Linked DNA regions of Cricetulus griseus. The protein of the gene in region 1 purifies or fractionates together with the protein of each later gene. This does not show direct contact. Links are inferred from orthologs where the notes say so. Each region holds a gene or a part of one and is shown in the gene's direction. Other genes may lie near its edges.

Region 1 (3,960 bases):
ATGAATTCAGCCTGGTGGAGTGGCTCAGCATTCAGCATTGGTGGCTCATGCTTTTAATCCCAGCACTCAGGAGACGGAGGCAGGCAGATCTCTGTGAGTTCAAGGCCACCCTGGTCTACAGAAAGAGTTCCAGGACAGTCTCCAAAGAAATACAGAGAAACCCTGTCTCAAAAACCAAAAACAAACAAACAAACAAGCAAAAAAAAAGAGTTGGATATGGATGCTATTTAACAGCAATTTTGTTTTGTTTTGAGACAGGGTTTCTCTGTGTAGCCCTGGCTGTCCTGGAATTCTCTCTGTAGGCCAGGCTGGCCTAGAACTCAGAAATCTGCCTGCTTCTTAAGGTGTGTACCACCACTACTCTTATTTAACAGCAAGTTAAGGCCAGTGAACTCTATACATACAGTGGCTAAGATACTTAATTTAAATAGCCCAGTGGTGGTGGCAAACACCTTTAATCCCAGCACTCCAGGGCTTGGGGTGTGGCTCAGTGGGTAGAATGCTTGCCTAGCATGCTTAGAGCTCTAGGTTTGAGCCACAGGTGTGGTAGTACATGCCTAGACTACATGAGACAGTATTTAAAATTAAAAAAAAAACTTTTTAAAAATTAAACACTTGATATCCCAGCACTCCAAAGGCAGAGATAGGCAGAGCTCTGAGTTTGAGGCCATCCTGGCCCATAGAGTGACTTCCCGGATTAAAAAAAGATAGTGAATTTTATATGTATATATATTTTGCTACCAAACAAAAGAATGGGGGGGGGGGAAATGTTGGTTCCTGTCCTAAGATGTTTACTACAACCTCATGAGAGAACTATCTTAACGGGCTTGATAATATTATGGGAATGCAGACAAAATAAAAGTTAATAATTGTGCAATTCTCTCGCTTTCTTAAAATTCGTTTATTAGCAACTTCCCATTGCAGCTAAGGAAACAGGAGATCCAGGAGACTGGATAGCTCTCTCATCCTGGGTCCGGCTGGAGCAATCCCTCCTCTGCGCAGCAGATGGCGCCAGAACTGCAGTGCACCTCCAAGACCGTAGGCGGCGCTCTAGCGGAGCCTCTCTCTCACCACCTCTATGACTCTTCCTCCCGTGTTCCGGTTCCGCCCCTCCTGCCGCTAGCTCACTCTGCGCATGCGGTTGTTGGCGATCGGCTGGGCGATGGCGGCTTCTTCAAGTGGGGAGAAGGAGAAGGAGCGTCTGGGCGGCGTCTCGGTAATGGCAGGCGTTGGCAGCACGCGCGAGCGGCTGCTGTCTGCGCTGGAAGACCTGGAGGTCCTGTCGAGGTAACCGCGGCCCGGGAAACCTGCTCGGGCCGGCCCTGCTGTGGGCGCTGACTGGGGGTAGGCGGGCCGGGGAGTGTCGGGCCGGAGCGCGAGTGTGGGGCACCTGGGGTCTGCGGCCTTCCGGGGCTTTGGGCGGCATGTCCCCACTAAGGGGACATCTCAGCGACCTGGAGCCCCAAGACAGTAAGGAAGGGCCCGGTCCACGGACACTCAGCCCCGGAGTGCCAAGTGCAGGGATGCTGTAGTCGAGGGAGGCTGGGTGCCAGCACCAGGGAGCCCTGCTGGGATCACGAGCCGAGCTGCAGCCTTCTGGAGTCCACGGATGGGACCCCTAGTCCGGTGTAAGCAAGGCGAGCTTCCCAAACCAGTAGGCTGTCTGGGGAAGACATCAGACTCGTTAGGCGTCTGGCAGATGATCCCATCATCCCGGAAAAAAAGGTCAGAAACGTGCAGGACTTGGTGGGATGGCTCCTGTGTGGCAGAAGTAGATTAAGTTGGGTGTCATTCTCCATATTGTCATTATAAAGTCGATCAGTTGGAGCCTTGTAAGGGCAGAGCCCCATCGTCATGGCAGTCAGTGCTATCTTACAAGAAAATAATTTCCACAAGCTGTAGCCCTCCTGGATTCGGCCTGCAGACCCACAGTCCAGGTCAGATAGTTTTCTTGTAAATCACAACCATGAAGCCAGTAATCGGTTGGGACAGAGAGCAGTTAAAACAGTTTCTTTTCTATTTATTCTCACAGGTTTTTATTGTGTTCTTAAAAGGTTTCACTTGGTAGCTCAGGATGGCCTGAATCCCCCCTCCCCCCCACCACCACCCTACCCCACCCCTTTATCGAGTTTAAGGCAAGTACCACCGTACCCTGATGGTTGCTTTTCTTTTAGGGAACTTATAGAAATGCTGGCAATTTCAAGAAATCAGAAGCTGTTACAGCTGGATGAGGAAAACCAGGTAAACGGTTTCTTTTTTAATCTAAAAAAAAAAAAAAAAATGGTGGCTCACACCTTCAGAGGCAGGCAGATCTCTGAGTTTGAAGCCAGGCTGGTCTACAGAGTGAGTTCCGGGACAACCAGGGCTATGTAGTGAGATACTGTCTTGGAAAAAAATAAAATAAAACTCTGGTTTTTAAAAAAAGTATCAGTTTAAAGATTTCAAGTACGTTCTGTTCTCAAAATGAATATAAACATACGCTCAAACCATCTTTTTTGTTTTTGAGACAGGGTTTATCTGTTCGGTTGTCCTTGAGCTCTCCAAGATCTGCCTGCCAAGATGCCACCACTGCCCCTCTCTCTTTCTGGGTTTTTATGTAGCCGGGGCTTGCCTTGAACTTACTGGTCCTCCTACCTTTATCTCAGTGCTGGAATTGTAGGTGTGGTCAACACATCGGCCTGCTGAGCTCTTCTGTGTGTTCCAACCTCCCTTACATCATGAGTCCTTAGAATAGTCTGGCATACGATAGGTGTTATTGGGGAAGTTTTCTTTTTAGAGGAGAGAATAGGCTCATGGAGGGTGGTGACTTCTTTTCCTGTGACTTACTGCTAGCAACTGAAGGGTTACAAACTAAACCCCAGGCTTCTGTTCTCTCCTTAAAACTCTGCTTATATTTTGAAGGGGAAAAAACCCCAGCTCCCCCGCCACAACAAGATAGCATATTAAACTTGGTGGCATTTTTCCATATCTGCATACCATTTATTCATTATCTATTTATTCATTCTTTGTTTTTCGAGACAGGGTTTCTGTGTGTATCCCTGGCTATCCTGGAATTCACTCTGTAGACCAAGCTGGCATTGAACACAGAAATCCACCTGTCTTTGCCTCCTGAATGTTGGGATTAAAGGCGTGCGCCACCAACGCCCGGGTGTATCTCAAAGTTTTAAAGTGTTTGGTGCCAACTAAAGTCACTTCAAACCATTAGATTTTGGAAGAGCTTTTTATTATTCCGTAGTATAAGGATAATTTTTTTAATTTTATCTTTGGAAGATGAATAAACTTGAAATTTGCACAGTATTACTTCTGAAAGATATGTTCTACATGGAAAAGGACCAGAATAAAAATGGAAATTCTTGATATTAAAACTTGTTTCCTCAAACTACCCCAAATGGGCTATGTATATTGTTAATGCTGATTAAGACTATTCCGGGTGTTAAAACTGGTAAACCTAGCCAATTCAAGCATGGGTTCTTTGTCTCATTGGTGATAGCCTTGATAACCCTGTTGTCTGATGGAATCAACTATTATTTGACAGGTCTTGGAGCTGCTAATTCACCGAGATGGGGACTTTCAAGAACTGATGAAGTTGGCACTTAATCAGGGAAAAGTCCACCATGAAATGCAGGCATTAGAAAAAGAAGTCGAGAAGAGAGACAGTGATATTCAGCAGCTGCAGAAACAGCTGAAAGAGGCAGAGCAAATCCTGGTGAGTTGACGGTTGGTCCTGGAGAGGCGGCTGTTAAGTTCTCTCCTCAAAACTCTTGTTATATTTTGAAGGGAAAAAAAAAAAAACAAACCCAGGTTACCCTCATCCCCCCACGAGACAGCATCTCTGTATAGTGCTGGCTGTCCTGGAACACACTGTATAGACCAAGCTGGCCTTGAACTCAGAAATCCAGCTACCTCTGCCTCCCAAGTGCTGGGATTAAAGGCGTGTGCTGCCACCACTACCCATCTTCC
Region 2 (4,072 bases), on another chromosome or scaffold:
CAGGAGACTGACAGTAAGTAACACTGGAACGCTAGAATGGGGCCAGGCCGGGCGGTGGCGCACGCCTTTATTCCCAGTGCTTGGGAGGCAGAGGCAGGCGATCTCAGTGAGTTTGAGGCCAGTCTGGTCTACAGATTGAGTGCCAGGACAGGCTCCAAAGCTACACAGAAATCCTGTCTCAAGAAAAAAAAAAAGTTAGAATGGTGAGCAATATGCCCTACCCCAAAGGGGGGGGGGGAATCAACCCCTTAACAAGTTTTAGCAAGTTCCTCACATATTTTGTGTCCAAACCCTATTTCTCCCGAATCAAAGAACATATACAGGTTCTACCAAATCAAAGAAACTCAGTGACTAGGCTTGCCAGCTAAGGAAGTCAAATCCTGAGCTAATCTATTCTTTTCCTACAAAGGAGCCACTTTGAGTCCTGGGTGACGTCAGATCAGGTTCCACCCAGACCAATGAGTTCCAAGAGTCCAGTGGCAGGTGACGCCCTAGAAAGAAATTTCTGAGAGGATGAAGTTTCCATGGATAGCGTCGGTGCTCTTCCCTCTGGACTTTGGCTATGGATACTGGGGTAATCCTGGGGTTAGGGACCCACACGTGTCTCTAAGGGAACCTCATGGGAAGCCAAACAGAACAAAGGGCAAACGATCGGCGGTAGTGCAAAGACTTGGGATCCTAAAGGAAGGACACGATGGACAGCGAGAGGGCGAGAAGGCTGGTTTTGGCTAAAAAGGTCAGAAATCGTGAGAGCGATGCTTAGGCTTTACCCAAAGGATTCCCTGTGGGAATGAAGAGCTATCCCACCCCTCTCCTGGCAGTGCAGGGTGCTCTCCCGCCACACCCCTCCTCTCCTGAGATCCGTGTGCCACCCAACCCCAGGGGAGGACCTGAACTCCATCCCCGCGCGCCGTCCCGTGCCTTTTGCCCAGGACTCGGCAGAGCCTGTCCTTCCCCTCTGCATTAGCACGTTGGCTCTCACCGTCGGCGGGGGCGCCTCTCCTCTCAGTGGAACGGCGAGCGGACTCCGTGCGGCCTCTGGCCCGTGGCTGCCTGCAATCCCAGCTGTGAGCTCACGTCCTGCGCCGGCCGACTCCTGAGCTACAACCCAGCCCTACGACTCGAGAAATATACTACAAGACCCGGCATGCACAGCGCGAGCAGGCGGTGGAGTCGGGAATCCGGTTGAGACTTGGCCTTCTTCCGCTTCCGGGTGTGAGGGCAAATCTACTTCCGACGGCCTCCGGCGCAAAGGCTTCTGGGTTTCGTGGGCAGTTGCCGCTCCTCCCGGGTTGCCTCTATTTCCCAGCAGGCACTGCTGGGATGCTACTGGTTCTGGTGTCGGGGTGACGTGTGGCTTAGTAAGTCCTGTATCCGTGGCAGCGGCTGGTTGCGGTTACCGGAGAGAACTTCCCGCCGACAGCCATCTGGGCCGCAGCGCGCCAAGACGGGTCGGCAGGTATGTCGTGATTTGAGGTCGGGGGGACGTGGTGGACTTGGGACTAGAGAAGGCCGACGTGGTCCCGCGATGGGGATTGGCAGGCCCAGGCCGAAAGCCGCGGTTTCCCACCCTCGACATTTTTAGGGAGCCGGTTTACACCCAGCTCAGCCCTAGAGCACGGCTCCCTACGATCTCGCCGGGAAACCGAGGCTCGGACGATTCAGGAGGATAACGTAGTAAAGACAGCCACGAGACAGCCACGTCCTTTGCCCAGTCTTTCCTGACTGTGCCAGCGCCTTCTCCACACTCCACAGCCGCAACTGTTTTTAGTGCCTGGGGATGTGGGAGAGCCAGGCTGGTAGAGCCAGTCACGGTCCTCATGTTTAGGAAACTCAATCCCAGCCGGGCGGTGGTGGCGCCCGCCTTTAATCCCAGCACTCGGGAGGCAGAGGCAGGCGGATCTCTGTGAGTTCGAGACCAGCCTGGTCTACAAGAGCTAGTTCCAGGACAGCCTCCAAAGCCACAGAGAAACCCTGTCTCGAAAAACCAAAAAAAAAAAAAAAAAAGGAAACTCAATCCTAGGTCCCTGGGACATGTTTGTGGTAGAGGCTGAGGGTGAGGTGGGGATCTCTTAGTCCACTGTGAATCATTTCCCTGCAATGGTTCCCCCTCTTTCTTAAGCATCTCATGAAACTGTGCTTTTCCAGCCATGCACTCGGTCCAGTCCAGACTCATGGCAATCATGTTTGGCTCTTTTCTTCACTTATCTCCAAACTGCTGCATTCAACAGTCTGTTACTAAATTCTGTCGACTTGGGAAACATGTCAGCTGTGATCTCGTCTTCAGCTTCAGGTCTTTGATTCTGTTACAGCCTACTGTTTCCATGTTCATTCATTCTGCAAACATTTACAGAGTGCCGCTTACTTGTAGGCAACCTGCTTAGATGCTAGGCTCACAGTGAAGAATCATCTTTTAGGTGTGCCTCTGTGCTACTACTGTTCCTCCGATTGGCCAAGGCAGTGAGTGATCTTCCCAAATCTGATCGATGAGCACTGCTGGAATCCACTACTAGCTGTTACCACTTTAAAAAAAAAAAAAAATCTGAGTTCATTACTGGGGCTTTCCCAGCATTGAACCACCCAGCTCTAGCCAGTCTAGCCTCGTTGCTCTTGTCGTTTTGATCACAATAGCCTTTGTGCCAAATTCTAGCCTCAGGATCTTCTTATGTGCTTTTCCCTCTGTTCAGAATACCTCTCTCCCTTCTCTTAGATTATTTTGGGCATGTTCAGGTCTCATATTATTTTTTCTGAAGGCTTTTGTTGACCTCTGCCCATTGAGTTATGTTCTCCTGCAGTGGCTTCACGACACTGAGCACTGTTCCATAAATATATAGTTTTATCACAGTGGTTGTTTGCTTACTGTCTGTCTGGAGACATTGTGTTCACTCTGTCCTTGGAGTAGCGATTCCACAGTTTTTTGAATAAATGCATGCAAACTCTGGTGTGTGCACCCTCATATTACACGAATTATTAATAGCACCTTGTTCAGTTAATCCCTGGCAGCTCTTAACTACTCAACTGTTTGTCCAAATAGAACAACACAAAAAGATAGTTGGGTTGGTTTTTGTTTTTGTTGTTTTGGAGACAGGGTCTTATGTAGCACAGTATAGCCTGGAGATCAATCAATATGTAACCCAGGTTGCTCCTAAATTTGTGTCAGTGGTCCTCTGGCATAAGTGCTAGAATTAGAGTCATGCATGACCATAGGTGGCTTTTAACTCTATTCCATCTACCCCCCCAACCCTGCTCCCTGGAACTCTGTTGACCAGGCTGGCCTTGAACTCACAGAGATCCACCTGCCTTTGCCTCCCTAGTGCTGGGATTAAAGGCGTGTGCCAGATTTTTTCTTTGTTTTATTTTGGTGGTGTTGTTTGTTTGTTTGTTTGTGTGTATCATTTCGGTGTATACCTTTGAAAAGCCTTTTGGGATGCATAAACGGGGATTTCTAACTATGCTTATGGCTTACAACTTAGGCCAGATGCACCCAAGTGAATTGCTGTTTTCATTTTTTTCCCCTGTTGGCTTAGTGATATTTCTGTAAAATCACTTAATGCAATATAGTTTTTCAGGTTTACATTCTGTTTTCCTCCAGCTAAACTGCTCCAGGGCAGGCACCATGTTGCATTCATCTTTACACCCCAGCATCTAGCAGTGTTGGCATGTAGTAGGCACTCAAGAAATGTATGTTGAATGAACGATGCCTGTGACAAGCAATTGGACTTTATTCTTTCCTGACCCTTGCTCCTATGACATACCTCCTGACTGCCACTGTCACCCCTTCAAAGCAGAACTTCTCTAGGGAGCCTGGAAGGGAAACAGGTGAGGCTGAGAGGTGGAGGTAGAGGGAACAGGGAATATGAGGAGGGCTTGACAATGGTATCTGGGGAGTATGAGGAGGGCTTGACAATGGTATCTGGGGACTGGAGTGGCTGAGGTTGAGCCTGATTTCCTTGGATGTCTGGGATGAAATTCAGGTTGGGGCTGCTTTCTTTACAGCTATGGCCAAGGACATCTTGGGGGAAGCAGGGCTGCACTTTGATGAGCTGAACAAGCTTCGGGTGTTGGACCCAGA
Region 3 (4,032 bases), about 230 Mb from region 1:
GGCATGTACCCACTATGCATGGTTGCAAATGCTTTTTAAGAGATAATTTTACTTTTTCAAACTATTAGGGTTATTAAAGACCTTGACAAAAACTTGACAAAATGGTGTGTTAAGCTAATTTTTCCAGGATTGGCATCAATAACAGGTGTTTCCAACCTGTTGAGTTACCAGGTTGTGAGCCATCATTTGGGTTCTAGGAATGGAACTCAAGTCTTCTGGAAGAGCTGTCAGTGTTCTTAATGGCTAAGCTATTGAGCTCCTACAAAGAAGTTTAAAAGAAGCTTGAAGTATTTTATAAGATATTTGATACATTTTAGAATGTGTTTATTTTATTTTAATTTATTTAACTTAAATTGGTGTTTCTTTTCCGACTGGCTAGATTTTGTATTCTCATTAAAATCTGCCAAAAAAAAAAACACCAAAAACCCTCGACTCCACAATAAAACAGTTTAGATGGTATTTTATAGCAAAAGGTATTCTTTAAGCATTTTTTAGTAGTTTACTGTCTCCTTGCTAAAGTATCAGCTTTTGAATTTAAAAGTAATCTAAAGAATTTAGATTCTTAGGGGTTGCTGGTCCACATGAGCACTTATTGGAAGTTCTCAGATATGAGCTTGTAGGATATGGTTGAACTGTACTGTGTGCTGTTGTAGGGCTAGGGAAAGAAAGGTTTTTGTTTTAAAGCAAACGACGTGTTTACCGAGCGTTTTTCTGACTTAATGAGGTAGGTCTCCTCATGTAGCCGAGGCAGTTGTCCAATTTAAGACCACGTAGCCCATCCTCCATCTTCCATGCGTAACTCAAATTTGTGGAAATAGGCAAAGGAATTGAAAAGGTAACTTGCTGCAGTTTATGTGCCTAACATTCATACATGTCCTGATTTTTCTGTGATAGTAACCACCTTTGATGAAGAGAAGTGTGTTTGGGCAAGTTGTATGCACGGTAAATTTTCTACCTGATGTCCCACGTGGCCCCTGGCCCTGGGTGGCACGCTGGCCTCAGATGTGCAGAAGACACTCTTCCCTCCTTCTGCCTGGCTGCGCTCGCGAGGGGAGATGGAATGCTGCTTTTCACTGCTCACTTATTTCGCTGGGGGGTGGAGGGTGAGGGGGAGACTTGGAACCGAAGGACAAACTGAAGGGACAAAGAGGAACTGGGTGCGCCCTCCTCGCACTCGTCTTCCGACCGGCTTCCAGCGTCCCTTGGGGGCGGGGCCGAGCGTCGTGACGTACTGCCCGCCCTGACGCGGCTGTGAGCGCGGTTCCCCAGGCGACCGTGGTCAGCCAGCGACCCACCATGGAGCGTAGGGTGGTGAAGCCACCGGGGCAGGACATGATAGTGGAGCGTCTCAAAAGCCTCTACGGCCTGGCGGGAAGCTGCTCCGTGGAGGTGAGGGGAGTGAAGCCCGCGGCGGGCTCCGGCGCCCGGGCGGCTGTGGGAGGGCTCCGGCCTGCCTGCCTTGGGGAGGCTCGCCCGGGAGCGCCTTCCCTCAGGGAAACCGCCGAGATGCATGGGGCGTGGCTTTGGTCCTGCTGGTGGTGACCCGAGTGCAGCAGGCATAGAAGACGACGTGGTTCTTTCGGGCAAGCTTCTTACTCCGAAGTAATTGCAAACTTAGAAGTTGTGGCAGTATGCATTCTTGTAGCCCTCCCTTGAACGTGCCATTCACCAGGGGAGTCTTGGCTTATTTGCTGCGGGATCCCCACCGATGCAATTTGTTAATATCAATCTGTGGGATGAATGCTGGAAGAACCGAAGCGGGGGAAACCAATTGCAGCTATGCAGTTTCCACGAGGCTCATTTATTATTATTATTTATTATTATCATCATCATCATCATCATTACACCTCCTTTGATAAGAGGCGTTTACAGTTCAGCTGAGAAGCCTGCTTCACAGCCTAGCAAATCCAAAGCTCAACATATGAGGTACTGGAACATCATGTACTCTGTTCTCCAGAAGTTGAGGAAGGTAGCAGGCATTCCTTAGTTCCTTCCCACATTTGCTAACTTTTCAAAATCCCTTCTAGAGAAATGTCAGTATATCTCAGAGTTCCCATGCCCGTGTCACAAATCCATTCTATCCTCACATAACCTTAATTCAGATTGTAACACGTACTCCTCTGGTTTGGTTTTCCTGTGAAGCAGGTTCTCAGAATTTTAAAACTTCATTGATACTTTCCAGGATATTTAGTATTGCCACAATAATACAGGACAATGTGTAGCTCATACTTAGATTTCACTAATTACCGCAACTAAGACCTTTTGTAGAAAGTTTTTCCTAATGCAGATGCCACTTAGGTCTGAACATTGCATTTGGTTGGCTCTGTTGCCTTTACAACAGATGCCCACACTTAGTTTCTTACAACATGAATGCTTTCACAAGGTTGAAGAATGTTGTGTATAGAATATCTGTCAGTTTGAGTTTGATTTGATTCTGGTTTGATTTGATTCTGGCTTTGTAGTTTTGGCAGGAATATGATACGGAAGGTTCGTGGGCTGCTGTGATGAATCAACAAGTACATGATGTTTGCTTGTCTAATTAGTGATGCTAATGTTGCTTAGGGTGCGGCCCTAGGTTTTTCCATGCTAACCTTTGTAATTAACATGTAATCTATGGAAAAATATTGTAAGGGAATATTTCTTAGTGTTTAAGTGTGTCTTTTTTACCCCCCTAGCAAGAGTTTTCAAATTTTGATCAGACTAAATATAAAAGAAGAATTCTAACCTCCCCAGGTAAGTCAATAGAATATTTTGTATATTTGAGTATTTTAACAAATTTAATTTGAAAGAAATTTTTGTAATGGTTTAGATGTACGGTTAGTGTTACTTATTTTTTATTTAAAATTTTTTGGTAGATACACAATAATAATTGTGAATTTAGGGATGAATGTGTGAGATGCCCTTAAAAATTAAATTTAACCAGAGTTTTTGGTGTGTGTTATGTGTGTGTTTAATTTATAGTGTGTATACCTTCCCTTTCTTTTTACTCCTGTGCTACTAGGAGTCAAAACCAGACCCTTGATCAAGACTGAGCAAGTGCTTGATCACTAAGCCATGTCCCCAGCTAATATGTTTGTTTTTTAAGATGTTAAAAATTGAGCAGACTGTATTGGGTGAAGAACACTAATTGGTATTTTTAAGCAGGAAGAGTTACTAGGATAGAAAGTAAAGGAAAAATTTATCAAGTGAATGTACTTGGAAAACATAATTATCCTGGGGGTTGTAATGTTTTTTGATAAGCTGAAACTTTTTGTTTTTTTCAAGATGGGGTTTCTCTGTGTAGCTTTGTAGACCAGGCTGGCCTCGAACTCACAGCCATCCGCCTGCCTCAGCCTCCCAAGTGCTGGGATTAAAGACATGTGCCACCATGCCCAGCTACCAGAAAATGTTTTAAATAAAATTATAGGACATTTCCCCAAACTAAAGGAAGAGATGCTTATCAACATATAAGAAGCATCCAGACCACCAAATAGACAGAACCAGAAAAGAAACTCCCCATGACATATGATAATCAAAACATTGAATGTCCAGAACAAAGGATATTAAAATCTGCAAGGCAAAAAGACCAAGTCACATATAAAGGCAGGCTCATTAGAATAACACCTCAGTGGAGACTCTGAAAGTCAGAAGGGCTTTCAAGAGATCACAGATGCCAGCCCACACTGCTATACCCAGCAAAACTATCAGTGACAATTAATGGAGAAAGAAAAGCATTATACAATAAAACCAAATTTAAGTCATTTCTGTTTACCGGTCCACTTGAAGGCAATCTTCATTCTGAAGAGGTTAATTATTTTAGGGCAGACCCCATGTCCAGGAGTAATTGGCAAACACAAGATAAACTCAGTGGTATTTTTGTGGACTTTTTGTTTCATTTTGCTTTGGACACTTTTTGCCTTATTCATCTTTTGGTTTTTGTTTTTTATTTATTTATTTTGTGTGTGTGTGTGTGTGTGTGTGTGTGTGTGTGTGTGTGTGTGTGTGTTGTGGGTTTTTTTTTTTTTTTTTTTTTGAAAAAGAAAAACCAAAGTT

Evidence for each region. Proteins that work in one complex are often made in the same cells at the same time.
Region 2: the proteins of Med4 (region 1) and Ift20 purify together in Homo sapiens (affinity purification with mass spectrometry; 3 studies listed by BioGRID and IntAct, with this or other methods). This does not show direct contact. The link is inferred for Cricetulus griseus from reciprocal best matches to the Homo sapiens genes MED4 and IFT20.
Region 3: the proteins of Med4 (region 1) and Ccdc138 purify together in Homo sapiens (affinity purification with mass spectrometry; 3 studies listed by BioGRID and IntAct, with this or other methods). This does not show direct contact. The link is inferred for Cricetulus griseus from reciprocal best matches to the Homo sapiens genes MED4 and CCDC138.

Annotation. Positions count from the first base shown.
Region 1 is NW_023276807.1:228,015,232-228,019,191, forward strand, and holds the start of Med4 (mediator of RNA polymerase II transcription subunit 4), read left to right. Parts: upstream 1-1,156; 5' UTR 1,157-1,162; coding exon 1,163-1,287; intron 1,288-1,312; exon of another isoform or gene 1,313-1,609; coding exon of another isoform or gene 1,610-1,725; intron 1,726-1,814; exon of another isoform or gene 1,815-1,937; intron 1,938-2,174; coding exon 2,175-2,241; intron 2,242-3,535; coding exon 3,536-3,706; intron 3,707-3,960. UniProt on the Homo sapiens protein: Component of the Mediator complex, a coactivator involved in the regulated transcription of nearly all RNA polymerase II-dependent genes.
Region 2 is NC_048600.1:91,926,678-91,930,749, forward strand, and holds the start of Ift20 (intraflagellar transport protein 20 homolog), read left to right. Parts: upstream 1-1,272; 5' UTR 1,273-1,459; intron 1,460-3,592; 5' UTR 3,593-3,746; coding exon 3,747-3,819; intron 3,820-3,996; coding exon 3,997-4,072. UniProt on the Homo sapiens protein: Part of intraflagellar transport (IFT) particles involved in ciliary process assembly. May play a role in the trafficking of ciliary membrane proteins from the Golgi complex to the cilium.
Region 3 is NW_023276807.1:2,595,357-2,599,388, reverse strand, and holds the start of Ccdc138 (coiled-coil domain-containing protein 138), read left to right. Parts: upstream 1-1,232; 5' UTR 1,233-1,296; coding exon 1,297-1,389; intron 1,390-2,675; coding exon 2,676-2,733; intron 2,734-4,032.